3 linked regions of the Callithrix jacchus genome follow. The protein of the gene in region 1 interacts with the protein of each later gene in a biochemical or structural test. Links are inferred from orthologs where the notes say so. Each region holds a gene or a part of one and is shown in the gene's direction. Other genes may lie near its edges.

Region 1 (4,209 bases):
TCAGGTGATCCACCCGTCTCAGCCTCCCAAAGTGCTGGGATTACAGGCGTGAGCCACCGCGCCTGGCCCAGAAACACATTTAATCTGGGGCCTGCATATGAGTGATCAGCTTGGTTGGTTTGGGGCCTCTGGAGGGTCCAAGGCTTTGGAGGAAGGAGAGTGGGTAGGTAGTTCAGAGAGGGTCAGAAAGATCCCTTTCGTGGGTAAGTATTCACCTTCAGCTACACCAAGGGTATGGGGACTCTGGTGGAGGTATTGTGCATGTGTATCTGCAGTACTTACTGCTAGATACGCTTTGGATTCACCGGCCCAGGCTTTGCCCTAGGAAGGGACAGTTGTCTTTTGAAGGAAGACTGCTTTATACGGTCAGACACCTGGATCACACCGCCGTAACAGCAGCATCCCACCACCCCAATCCCATACATTAGCGTGAGGGGTCACAGAGGGAGTGAGAATGATGGGATCCAAGAATCTCTTTTCTCCAGATCCACTCACACCAGGAGTTAATCGCTCCAGAGCCAGGCTCTGAGTCCCTCCCTCTCTCACCCGAGCTCCGCCCCGCTCCCCTCTCCGCGGTCCTGGCGGGCTTCCCTTGGAGGGGGCGGCCCCAGCCCGAGTGCTAGGCCGGGCGGAGCTCCGGCCCGGGCGGAGCCGCGGCCGCTGCGTCCGGCTCCGGACCGAACTTCTGCCGAGCGGACAGCAGCAGCGGCGCGGAGCCCCTTGCCCCCACCTCTCCAGCCCGCCCTCTGAGCCTCCCGAGCCCTCTCTCCATTCCCCCCAGCTGTGCTGGTAAGTCCCGCTCCCCGCACCAAACTTTTCCGCTGCGGAGCTGAGGTCCTGCGATGGGACCGCGAGCTGCATTGTGGTTGGTGTGTGGGGGAGGAGGAGTGGGAACAACTGAGCGTGGCCGTCTTGAACCGAATGCCGACTCCACGGCTTCCCCACGACGGATCGGCGCTCGCTGACTTCCCGGGCTGGAAGAACTCTGGATCGTAGTTGCTTAAACTTTACGTAGAGCTGGAGACGAGGGTTTGCGCTCCAACTTCGCTGCCCCCTCCCCCATTTCTCTCAGGTCTAGCAGTTCCGGATACTTTCCCTCCATCTTTCAAGGATCTTTGGCTCCCTAAAAGCTCGTCCCCTCCCAACTCTGCTGTGGCAAAGCCACCCTCCACCGGGCACTTCGGGCCCGCCTCCTTCTCCGTTGCCTTCGGGGACCCCGCGATCTTCGGGGCCTTACGCTGCCTCGGAGGCCACCCGTCCTGCCAACCCGCCGCAGACGTGTAGCCGCTGGGTCCGCTGTGGAGGGAGGGGCTCAGGCTGGGGCTAGTCCGAAGCCCGGCGGGCGGGGCCGGGAAGGGGAGGTGTAGGGGGCCGGACGGGGCGGAGCAGGCGGCATTTGCGGCCGGCGCCGGGGTGGAGAGTTGTGCGCCGGTCCCTGGGCCTGAGCTCCGGCTCCGGCTGGGGCGCCTGCGATGTCTCAAGATGGCGGAGCTGGGCGAATTAAAGGTACCGGCCCCCTCCCCCACCCCCATCTGGCCTGAGCCCGGCGGTGCGCCGTGTCCGGGAAGCGACCGGGACTGGGTGCCGGGGCTCGGGTGGGCGCCGGCGACGTGGCAGGGGCGGGCGGCTGAGGATGGGAGAGAAGTGGCTGCGAGCGAGGAAGGGGCTGCGGCGGGCTCCGGGGGCGGGGCTGCGGGGCAGATGTAGGGGTGGGGCCGAGGGGAATTGCAGCTGCTGGGGGCTGAGGCGCAGGGGGCGGGGACGAGGGGCAGCAGGCGGATTTAGTAGCAGGGGCAGTTGTTGGGGTAGGGCCAGGGGGAAAAGCTGCTGTAGAGGCATCCGGGCGAGTCCATCGAGGCCGAGAGATGCGACAGCAGGGGGCAGATGCAAGGATGGGACCGTGGGGCAGATGTGGGGGGGGCTCCGAGGGAAAGGCAGCCGAGAGGATAGGGGCTTTGGGGGTGCTCTCGGGATCCGAGCTTTGGGAAATACCAGTAGGCGGCTGAGATGTAGGGGGCGGGGCTGTGCGGGCCGACACCGAGGGGTGGGGCAGAAGCATCCTGGAGGCGCGGAGGAAGGTGCTGCCTTAGTGAATCGCGGTGTTTGGGCGGCGGCAGAGGCACGTGAAACTGTGGGATAGAAAGGAGGGAAGTTACAGGGAAAGCTAATGGGGAAAAAAAGACAGGACCGAGGAGATAAGGATGGGGAGAAAGAGGAGCAAGTTTCTCATCACGTTCCACAAAAGGGGCCCAAGACAAAGCCTCCTATGAGAAGAATTGTGTAGGACCAGCATGCCCTGCCCACGACATGACCTCCTGGAGATTCACAGAAGGGAGTCCCCTAAGGAGAGCGCTCCCCTTCTGCCTCACAGAGTTTTGAGGATGACCACGTGTGAGGACATCTGATAAAACCTTAAACCACTGGCTTCATCCCCCTGCCTCCTGGCTTGCTTCTTCTGCCCTTTGCAATGAAGCTATGGTCCTGGGCAGGCTGGAGGTCTAGCCACTGGGCCCAGTTACCTTCAGAGAATTTGCGATTCTGTGCCCTGACTCAGAGGCTTTTTCTTCAGCCAGCCAGGGCCTCTGTTTAGAGCTCTGCCCTCTCCTCTTCCACTCCTACAGGGGGGCTGTAGGTTGTAGCGGGGTGTTACTTTCTCTATGTAGGAGAGAAGCGGGATAATGGTTCCTGACAGACAGAGAGTTATCAGGCAGGATACCTGGACTCAGCGGTTTACTGTTAACAGCCCCCCACCCCCAGACCCAAGTTTTGGTCCTGTTTCCCTTCCAGAAAAATAGGACTAAGTCTCACAGAAGGGGCGGTTATATAAATGATTCCAAGAAAGGATCTGGGGGAGTTATGAGCATTGAACCCTGACCTGAAAATCCTGGCCACAAAAGCTTCAGAGGCTTGGGGGAAATAGCCTAGGCAAATTAAGGTGATTGGGGGGTGGGCTGAAGGGCACAATCCTCCAGCCACCTGGCCCCTTTCTTCCCCATGGGTGAGTCTGGCGTGAATTGTCTCCTCTCCCTGGTTCTCCCTGTCTCCTGTCCTCTTCCCAGGAGGCTGGGATGGGTTTGAGAGTCTGAGAAAGGGCAAGAGAGAAGATAAGCAGCTTAAAGGACAGTCCAGACTAGAGGCAGGGATGGTGGTGGGATGCTGCAGTGGACTCGGAGGTGTGCCTGAGGATGGCTTCTTGTCTGCATTCCCTGCCCCACTCTGGCTGCTTGCAGGCCTGGGAAGATAGTGTTGTTCAAGCTCTGGCGGGTGGTGATCTGCTGACCTTTGGGTTGCTAAAGTGGGGCTGAGATGTCCCTTTGGATAGGTCGACCACCTGGCAGTAATCCACTAGCTTAAAGCATCATCTTCCCCATCAGGGAAGGTGGAGGGAAAAAGGCACTGCCCAACTGGTAGCTCAGCCCATGTCTTGGCAGGACAGGCCTGTGCGAGGTAGGATTCTCAGGCTCCTGTGTTCTTCTCCACAGCACATGGTGATGAGTTTCCGGGTGTCTGAGCTCCAGGTGCTTCTTGGCTTTGCTGGCCGGAACAAGAGTGGACGGAAGCACGAGCTCCTGGCCAAGGCCCTGCACCTCCTGAAGTCCAGCTGTGCCCCTAGTGTCCAGATGAAGATCAAAGAGCTTTACCGACGTCGCTTTCCCCGGAAGGCCCTGGGGCCCTCTGATCTCTCCCTGCTCTCTTTGCCCCCTGGCACCTCTCCTGTAGGCTCCCCTGGCCCTCTAGCTCCCATTCCCCCAACCCTGTTGGCCCCTGGCACCCTGCTGGGCCCCAAGCGTGAGGTGGACATGCACCCCCCTCTGCCCCAGCCTGTGCACCCTGATGTCACCATGAAACCATTGCCCTTCTATGAGGTCTACGGGGAGCTCATCCGGCCCACCACCCTTGGTATGGCTCTTTGTGGTCCCTTAGTCTTCTGGACTCCATGGCTGTTCCCCAAACATTTCAGAGGCTTTAGTACTGTGGGATTGGCGGCATGGATGGGGGTGATTTCTGTGGCTGCCTGTGCATGGGCTTGGAATAACTGCCATTTTGTGTCCTCAGCATCCACTTCCAGCCAGCGGTTTGAGGAAGCACACTTTACCTTTGCCCTCACACCCCAGCAAGTGCAGCAGATTCTTACATCCAGGTACATTTCTTTCAGTCTTCCTGCCTCATCCCTGGAGGGTTACCCCTGGGCTCTCCTTTCTCACTTTC
Region 2 (3,525 bases), on another chromosome or scaffold:
CGGGTGTGGTGGCTCAAGCCTGTAATCCCAGCACTTTGGGAGGCCGAGGCAGGTGGATCACAAGGTTGAGAGATCGAGACTATCCTGGTCAACATGGTGAAACGCCGTCTCTACTAAAAATACAAAAAATTAGCTGGGCACGGTGGTGCGTGCCTGTAATCCCAGCTACTCAGGAGGCTGAGGCAGGAGAATTGCCTGAACCCAGGAGGCGGAGGTTGCAGTGAGCCGAGATCGCGCCATTGCACTCCAGCCTGGGTAACAAGAGTGAAACTCTGTCTCAAAAAAAAAAAAAAAGAGAGAGAGATTTTCTGGTTTGTATACATGGTTGTGTCCCTATCACTCTTTCACTAGGATGCCAACTTTTTGGGAGCAGACACCTTGTGTGCTTACTCATGGCCACATCCCCAGTGTCTAGAAGGGAGGCTGGCACATAGTAGGTGCTTGATAAATATGTGTCAAGTTAGTGGTGGGGAGTGAGAAAAAAAGATAGTCATTCCAAGGTTTCTAGCTTTGGTGACAGGGCAGATAGATGGTCAGGGAATATAGGAGAAAGAACCCAGTTTTTGAGGGATGATGAAATTGTCTTTGAATTAATGGAATTGAGGTGCTTTGGTGCTACTGAAGTACCATGGTACTTAGGAAAACAGTTCTGAGGCTGGGCATGGTGGCCAGCACTTTGGGAGGCCGAGAAGGATGAATCATGAGGTCAGGAGTTCAAGAACAGCCTGGCCAAGATGGTGAAACCCCATCTCTACTAAAAATACAAAAATTACTAAAAATAAATAAATAATACAAAAATTAGCTGGGCATGGTAGCACACACCTGTAATCCCAGCTACCCAGGAGGCTGAGCCAGAGAACTGCTTAAACCTGGGAGGAGTAGATTGCAGTGGGCCAAGATTGTGCCACTGCAGTCCAGCCTGGGCGACGGAGCGAGACTCGGTTTCAAAAAAAAAAAGAGAAGAAAAACAGTTCAGAAAGCTCCAACTAAATTATCAAACCATTAGAGGTAAGAATAAGAGTCTTGGAGAGAGATCCAAGATGGCTGATTACTAGCAGCTCAGGCATGTAGCTCCCAGTGAAAGTGCAGAGAACGAGAGGACACCACACTTTCAGACGAATTTTTGTTGCTCACGGACCAGGAGATTCCCAGCGGAGGAGCCCCACAAGTCACCAGCACGACTCTTGTGGCTGGCGCGGTGGTTTTGCCGGCGCCCCGGCACAGTGGTTCTTGGTGCAGAGTAAACAGGACTGGGTCCCCTTTTGGTCGACGTTTGGAGCTCCGGGAAGGCAGAGTCGCCTATTCAGCTGATTGAAAAAGGGACTCAAGAAGGAAGCCAGACCGGAGATTCCCGGGCAGAAAAGCACCACAAATCTTAACACCTTAGCCAGCGCAGTGGGTTGCTCAGATTCCGGCGCTGGGAATCAACAAGTTGGATGTCCACTCAGAGACCTAATTTGAAAGTCGGTTATTACAAAGACGACAGGTGGATAAATTTACAATGATGGGAAATTCCTTCCTGAAATTCTGCACTGTTAAGCACCATTATCGGCATGAAAGAGGTTTTTAATACCTACTTTTAGATTGCATTCCAGCCTGGGCAATAGAGCAAGACTCCTGTTCTCTCTCCCCCTTTCTCTTTATCTTTCTTTCTTTTAAAAAAAAAGTCTCTGCTGAAGTCATAAATCCTAAGTTGTGCCTCAGCTGCCTCAGAATGCCAAGAAATTGTCACCAGGCCTGGCTGGAGGCTTGCAGTAAGCCATGACATGAGCAATGCAGGAAGGCATGAGCTGGAAGCTGGTACCCCCCAGGGCTCCTCTTTCCCCAGAGCATGGCCCCTGTACTTGGCCTCACCATGTGGCCTTAGAGGGGCAGATTCAGCCAACAGAGGCCTTTTCCAAAAGCCGTGGGATTCTCAGAACAGCTGAGTGTCACACATCCCTTCTCATTGTCAAAGACAGGTTTTGGGAAAGCCCTGCTCCTTGTTTTTCTCGGGGGCCTTTGAGAGCACTGGGGGCCCACCTGAAGTGAGTGCGCCCCCTTCTCCCCCTTACTTTCCCAGATGATCGCCACCGGATTGAGGAGAAACGCAAAAGGACATATGAGACCTTCAAGAGTATCATGAAGAAGAGTCCTTTCAATGGTGAGAGGAGACCGGGAAGGCCAGAGAGGAAGGCGGGGGGGGGGCAGGGAGGGGACACCCCAGGGCTGAGAACTGACCCAGCCCTTGCCCTACAGGACCCACTGACCCCCGGCCTCCACCCCGGCGCATTGCTGTGCCTTCGCGCAGTTCAGCTTCCATCCCCAAGCCAGGTAAGGATTTCCTTTTGTCCCACTGGAGCGACAGGTTCAGCTCTATTCAGCCCATGGCTGAAATGCCTTCTGGAAGGGAGATGAGCAGAGGAACTGACCTGAGCAACAGATGTCTGAAGCCAGCTCTCCTTTGGGCCTATGTTTCTCAGGGGGTGGGGTCTGGTGACCTCCGTCAGAGTCACCTGAGAAGCAGTGGAGATGCAGATTCCTGGGCCCTATACAGACCTACTGAATCGGAGGCTTTGGGAGGATGGTGCAGGAATCAGCGGCTTCCCGGGATGCTAATGCACACCGAAGCCTGGGAACCACAGTGCCACTTACATCCTATATTGGACATCTTGGGATTCAGAAGTTAAAAATACAGAATCTCTGCTCTCACCTCTCAGTTGAATTAGTGGGAAAAATCACCTCTAAATTAGCAAGATGTATATGCTGGTGTGGGGCTCAAAAAAGACTGATGAACTGTCCACTTAAAGCCACTACTCACTTGGTGCTCCATGGGCTTGTTGCCTCTTGGGACTTGGTTTTTCAGCTGTAAACTGAGGAGACTAGCTTATCCCTCAAAGTGTCCCTTCCTCTAAAAGGCTGGGAGAGCTTCATGGGCTTGAATAGTCAGGGAGGACTCCAGGATGGAGATGTGGCTAGAACTGGACCCTACAGGCGGGGTCAGATTGGGTAAGAGGAAGGAGGTAGGGTATTGGCAGTGACTCCCTAGAAAGATTGAGCCTAAGCATCATCAAGAGGGGCTGGAGTATAGAGGATGGGTTGGATCTCTGGGGCGTTCTCTGACCCTTGCCTCTCTGTCTCTCCTCCAGCCCCTCAGCCCTATCCCTTTTCGCCATCCCTGAGCACCATCAACTATGATGAGTTTCCCACCATGGTGTTTCCTTCTGAGCAGATAAGCCAGGCCTCAGCCTTGGCCCTAGCCCCTCCCCAAGTCCTGCCGCAAGCTCCAGCCCCAGCCCCTGCCCCTGCCCCTGCCCCTGCCCCACCCATGGTACCAGCTCTGGCCCAGGCCCCAGCCCCTGGCCCAGTCCTAGCCCCAGGCCCTCCTCATGCTATGGCCCCACCTGCCCCCAAGCCCACGCAGGCTGGGGAAGGAACACTATCAGAGGCCCTGCTGCAGCTGCAGTTTGATGATGAAGACCTGGGGGCCTTGCTTGGCAACAGCACAGATCCAGCTGTGTTCACAGACCTGGCATCCGTCGACAA
Region 3 (4,107 bases), on another chromosome or scaffold:
AGCCTCTTTAGAGTTTTCTCCTTGGATAGTCATTTAGTTTATTAAATCTAAAAGGCCAAACACCAAGATGAGATGCTAATCTGAAAGGAATAACTTCAAGACCTAATAAAGAACGAAGACTGAACAGGGTTTTATAGATTGCAAATGACTTTCTCTTACATTTGCCCTTGCAACATCTTCTAAAACTGGTTTGCCAATCTCTTCTTTTATGGATGAAGAAATGGAGGCTTCTAGGAACCAAGTGACATGCTAAGGATTGCACAGCTCTTCTTAGAAGCACCAGCAATTTGAACTCTGAGTCTTATACCTTTAAATGCCACCGTAACTCTATACTGCCTTCCTGATGCCTCAAAACACTTTTAAAAAGAAGAAACACAATCTATTTACTGGAACTAATCAGAGGGAAGGACTAGAAGTACAAATGAGCCACAAAGGAGAGTTTATAAAATTCTCTTCCCTAAGTGAGTGCCAGGAAGCTCGATAAGGGGTTGACACTTTTACAGTTCACTTGCACATCTTCACTCCTGAAATATTAGGACAATCTCATTTGAACTCCTAGTCAACTGGGAAATTAAAAGCAGAGAGCGACAACACTGTTCTGTAAGTTTGTGCCTTTTAAAATTAACCGATCTTTCAATTGCTGCTTTAGATTAGAAGTGGCTACTTGGATAAAGGGGAGGAAAGGGTCATTTAACTGATGAACCGTATTGTAGAAGTCCAGACTTAGTTCTAGAAAAGGAACGCACAAGAACAATTTCTCCAATAACGTTTTCATTACAAAGCGAAGGAAAGTTCTTCCTCGTTGTTCCAATCCGAGGACAAGTTGATACGTCGCAGCAGCCCAGGGAAGCATGCGGGCTGATAGGAAGTCTTTTTATTTTAAGACAGGCTCGAATACTAAAACTTTCTAGTGCCAAAACCCTTCACTATCTTATTTTTTAAATAAGCATACGGCGTGCCCTCGCAGATGTCTGAGCTGAGAGGTGGGGGTGACGGTAGGAGAGCAGGCTGTGTCCGTTCTTATTCATATTAAATAGCCAAGTCTGTACCCTTGAAGCAAGTGGGGAGAGAGGAGGGAGAGGAGCTGCTGACATTGAAAATGAATCCAAACAGGAGTTGCTCTAGCGGTGTCCACCACGTTGCTTCTCCCCCGTCTGGCCTTCTGGGAGTTGTAGTTTTTGTGGGAGTGACTCCCCAGGCCAGCCGGGAATACCCCGCCCGGATCGAACTACAGATCCCAGGCGGCGCTCGGCCGTCGGCCCCTCCCTCCCGGGTGCCAGTGTAAACTCCCCGCTCGTTGGCGGGCGGCCGCGAGCCGGCGAGCGGGCAGAGCTCTGCACTGCGCGGGGGCGCACGACTCGGGGGACCCAGGCCCAGCTACCTTGCCTCCGCCCCCGGGCTCTGTTCTCACTTTTGAGCTGTGGAAGGACGGGAAGCGGGAGCCATGCAGTCGGAATCGGGGATAGTGCCGGATTTCGAAGTAGGAGAGGAGTTTCATGAAGAGCCCAAAACCTATTACGAACTCAAAAGTCAACCTCTGAAGAGCAGGTGAGTGGTGACAGCTGGGCAGAGGCGCGACGGGCGGCTGGGGGGCGCTGCGTCTGCCACTCCGGGGCGAGGAGAGCGGATCGTGGGAGCTCTGGGACAAGGACCCAGTGCCCTTGCCCCGGGGCGGAGGGCGAACTGCCCCTCGCAGTTGGGGGCCGCGCTCGCCCGGCCCAAGTGCGCTTCTAGGAGGCTCGGTTGGAGCGCACTTCGGGGGGCGCTGCGGTAGCCGGGGGCGGAGCGTCCCGGCTCGGGGACCCTCGGCAGGGGATGCCAGCTGCTGAGACTGAGTGGGGGCTGGGGAGCGACCTGGCGCGCTGTGGGGGAGGAGGAGCGCCTGGCCGGGACGCTGCTGTCCCGACGAGACGGGAGAGAAAGAGTTCTAGTGAACCCCCTTTGTGAAGATCCCAGCGGGTTGAGGGCGTGGACAGGGAGAGCTTTGGATGGATTGAGATGCAATATTGGAGGGAAGCAGTTAGTTTGATTGTAGTCACCTCTTGGGAGTCCAGTCCCTGTGGGGAAATCGGCCCTTGGCCGCTTGCAGGTGAGGGTTCTCTGGGCTCCGCCTCTCACCTCCAGACCGCTCCACGCGGGCGCGGGAGGGGCGAGTGCAGCGGTGGGTGTGTCCCCTAGTCCAGGTTAAACTCCCTGTAAATAGAGTCGCATTCAAAACCAGGCCTTCCCTGAAGAGGGGAAATGAGCCTTGGTCTTGGGGGATACTGGGACTGTACCTTGCTTGACAGAGACACGTGTTTAATTCGCTGGGGTCTTCAAAAACTTTTTAGGAGAGGAGTAAAGACATCCACTGCTCCGACGCCCCATCTCTTCTACTGCCCACTTCCTTTGCGCCAGCTTTTTTGCTGCCTCCATTGTCACTTGTCTGTCAAAATGTATTGGGTATCTTCCGTTCTCTCTGTCCGGCGGCCACTCTGGACTCGTCGCACTTCTCATTTACAGTGTTTACTAAAAGGGACATGGTCAGTGGAGGTTGGAATAGCAGAGAAGGGTTTATTTCCATCCTGCTAAGCTGTGAGCTAGGATAAGGCTATCATTGGAAGCATCCAGCAGGACTTCTGCACCCGGCTGTACCTTCCTGCCCTGCCCTTCGCTGTGGGTGGGGCCTGGGTGAATGGGCCTGGCTGGCAGAGTGGGAGAAGGTCCTGAAATGAGGGTGAGTGAAGAAGGGCAACCGAATGAAGAGCCAGGTGGTGTAATCTTGGCCTCTGGTGAGCACTGGGCTGGTTCCTTTTCTAGCGGAAAGTGCAACCAGGTTTATTTCCTTCAGGGCTGTGGCAGGACTCTTCATCCCACTTGGGAAAGAAAATCTGGGAACAGCGGACCCACTGACTGCCACTGCTGAAGAAGCCTCTTTGTAGATGCTTCACGGCAGATTGGAAGGAGACCGCCTAAGCAGTTTGACCTATAAAACCAGCCTTTAGTTGGTGGTTTTTCCTCATAATGGCCGTTTTGTGTGTGAGCATAGATTGTGTGTGTTGGGGGCTGGGGGTTTTGGGTAATATTGTGTGAAGGGTATTGTTGGTTATGCTCATCAGGGCTTTATCTGCATTCGGCTGAAGGGACCAGTGTTTTACTGGGCAGTCTCTGCTTCTGCTTCTATAAGCAAATGCTTACATGGCCAGAATGAGGGAATGAGTGTGTGTGTGTGGAATCCTGAAAGAAATGAATTAACTGGACTGTTTGGAACATTTCTGATGGTGGCTGATACATAACATTAAATCAGTTTGAGAGAGCGAGGAAAATACCATCTGGAAAAACCCAAATGAGTGCCGTGAAACTCATGTTGAACGATTTGGGCCTGTTCTTTTTCAGAGTCAGCAAAAAATGACTTGCAAGGGTGAACATCCTCAGTAGTTGGCTAGCAGGCACGTGTCAGGAAAATTGTGGGTATGTGGGAAGAAATGGCTTCACACGTTAATGCTAGAAACAGGTGTAGGCCTGAACCAGCAGGGAAAGGAAGGCTAAATTAAAAAAAGTTGTTGTAAAACTTGTATATGGAGCACACACATGCTCTTTGAAATAAACCAGTTAAATAAACTCTGTGAATAAATATATGGAGTTGGCGACATTTCTCTGTACTGTTTCCCACAGTTGTCTAAGGTATTGTCCTCGACATCTGTTGTGTGACTTAAAAGGGCTACACATTGTTCTGGGCCTCTCTCATTGCTTTTTGTCTTATGTCTTTGCTGGGGCACCTCATTTCTTATAAGTCTTTATTGGAAAAAGTTGAAATTGATATGTTAAGACTGCTGTAGCCATTCTGCCTATCAACTGTCTTCTCTGGATTGTCCCTTAGAGTTGAAAATATGTCCAGAATCTGCCTGCTTCTTACCAACTCCTCTGCTACCACTTTGGTCCAAGCCACCATCAGCTCTTGCCTGGATTATTGCAGTAGTCTTTTAAACTGCAATAACCACATTTAGTGAATTTTCAGTATAGTAGCTACAATGTTCCTGTTAAAACTGATTTTCAATAGGAGGTGATTTTGCCCCTGAGGTCATTTGACAGTGTCTGGAGACATTTGTGATTGTTACAATGGAAGGG

What was found.
Region 2: the proteins of PIAS3 (region 1) and RELA form a complex in vitro, tested with the Homo sapiens proteins (2 studies listed by BioGRID, with this or other methods). The link is inferred for Callithrix jacchus from reciprocal best matches to the Homo sapiens genes PIAS3 and RELA.
Region 3: the proteins of PIAS3 (region 1) and MITF form a complex in vitro, tested with the Homo sapiens proteins (2 studies listed by BioGRID). The link is inferred for Callithrix jacchus from reciprocal best matches to the Homo sapiens genes PIAS3 and MITF.

Annotation. Positions count from the first base shown.
Region 1 is NC_133519.1:8,291,586-8,295,794, reverse strand, and holds the start of PIAS3 (E3 SUMO-protein ligase PIAS3), read left to right. Parts: upstream 1-1,391; 5' UTR 1,392-1,482; coding exon 1,483-1,506; intron 1,507-3,482; coding exon 3,483-3,900; intron 3,901-4,056; coding exon 4,057-4,141; intron 4,142-4,209. UniProt on the Homo sapiens protein: Functions as an E3-type small ubiquitin-like modifier (SUMO) ligase, stabilizing the interaction between UBE2I and the substrate, and as a SUMO-tethering factor.
Region 2 is NC_133511.1:122,744,919-122,748,443, reverse strand, and holds part of RELA (transcription factor p65), read left to right. Parts: intron 1-2,062; coding exon 2,063-2,143; intron 2,144-2,238; coding exon 2,239-2,313; intron 2,314-2,462; coding exon of another isoform or gene 2,463-2,479; exon of another isoform or gene 2,480-2,691; intron 2,692-3,128; coding exon 3,129-3,525. UniProt on the Homo sapiens protein: NF-kappa-B is a pleiotropic transcription factor present in almost all cell types and is the endpoint of a series of signal transduction events that are initiated by a vast array of stimuli related to many biological processes such as inflammation, immunity, differentiation, cell growth, tumorigenesis and apoptosis.
Region 3 is NC_133516.1:51,562,017-51,566,123, forward strand, and holds the start of MITF (microphthalmia-associated transcription factor), read left to right. Parts: upstream 1-1,306; 5' UTR 1,307-1,444; coding exon 1,445-1,548; intron 1,549-2,672; exon of another isoform or gene 2,673-2,771; intron 2,772-4,107. UniProt on the Homo sapiens protein: Transcription factor that acts as a master regulator of melanocyte survival and differentiation as well as melanosome biogenesis.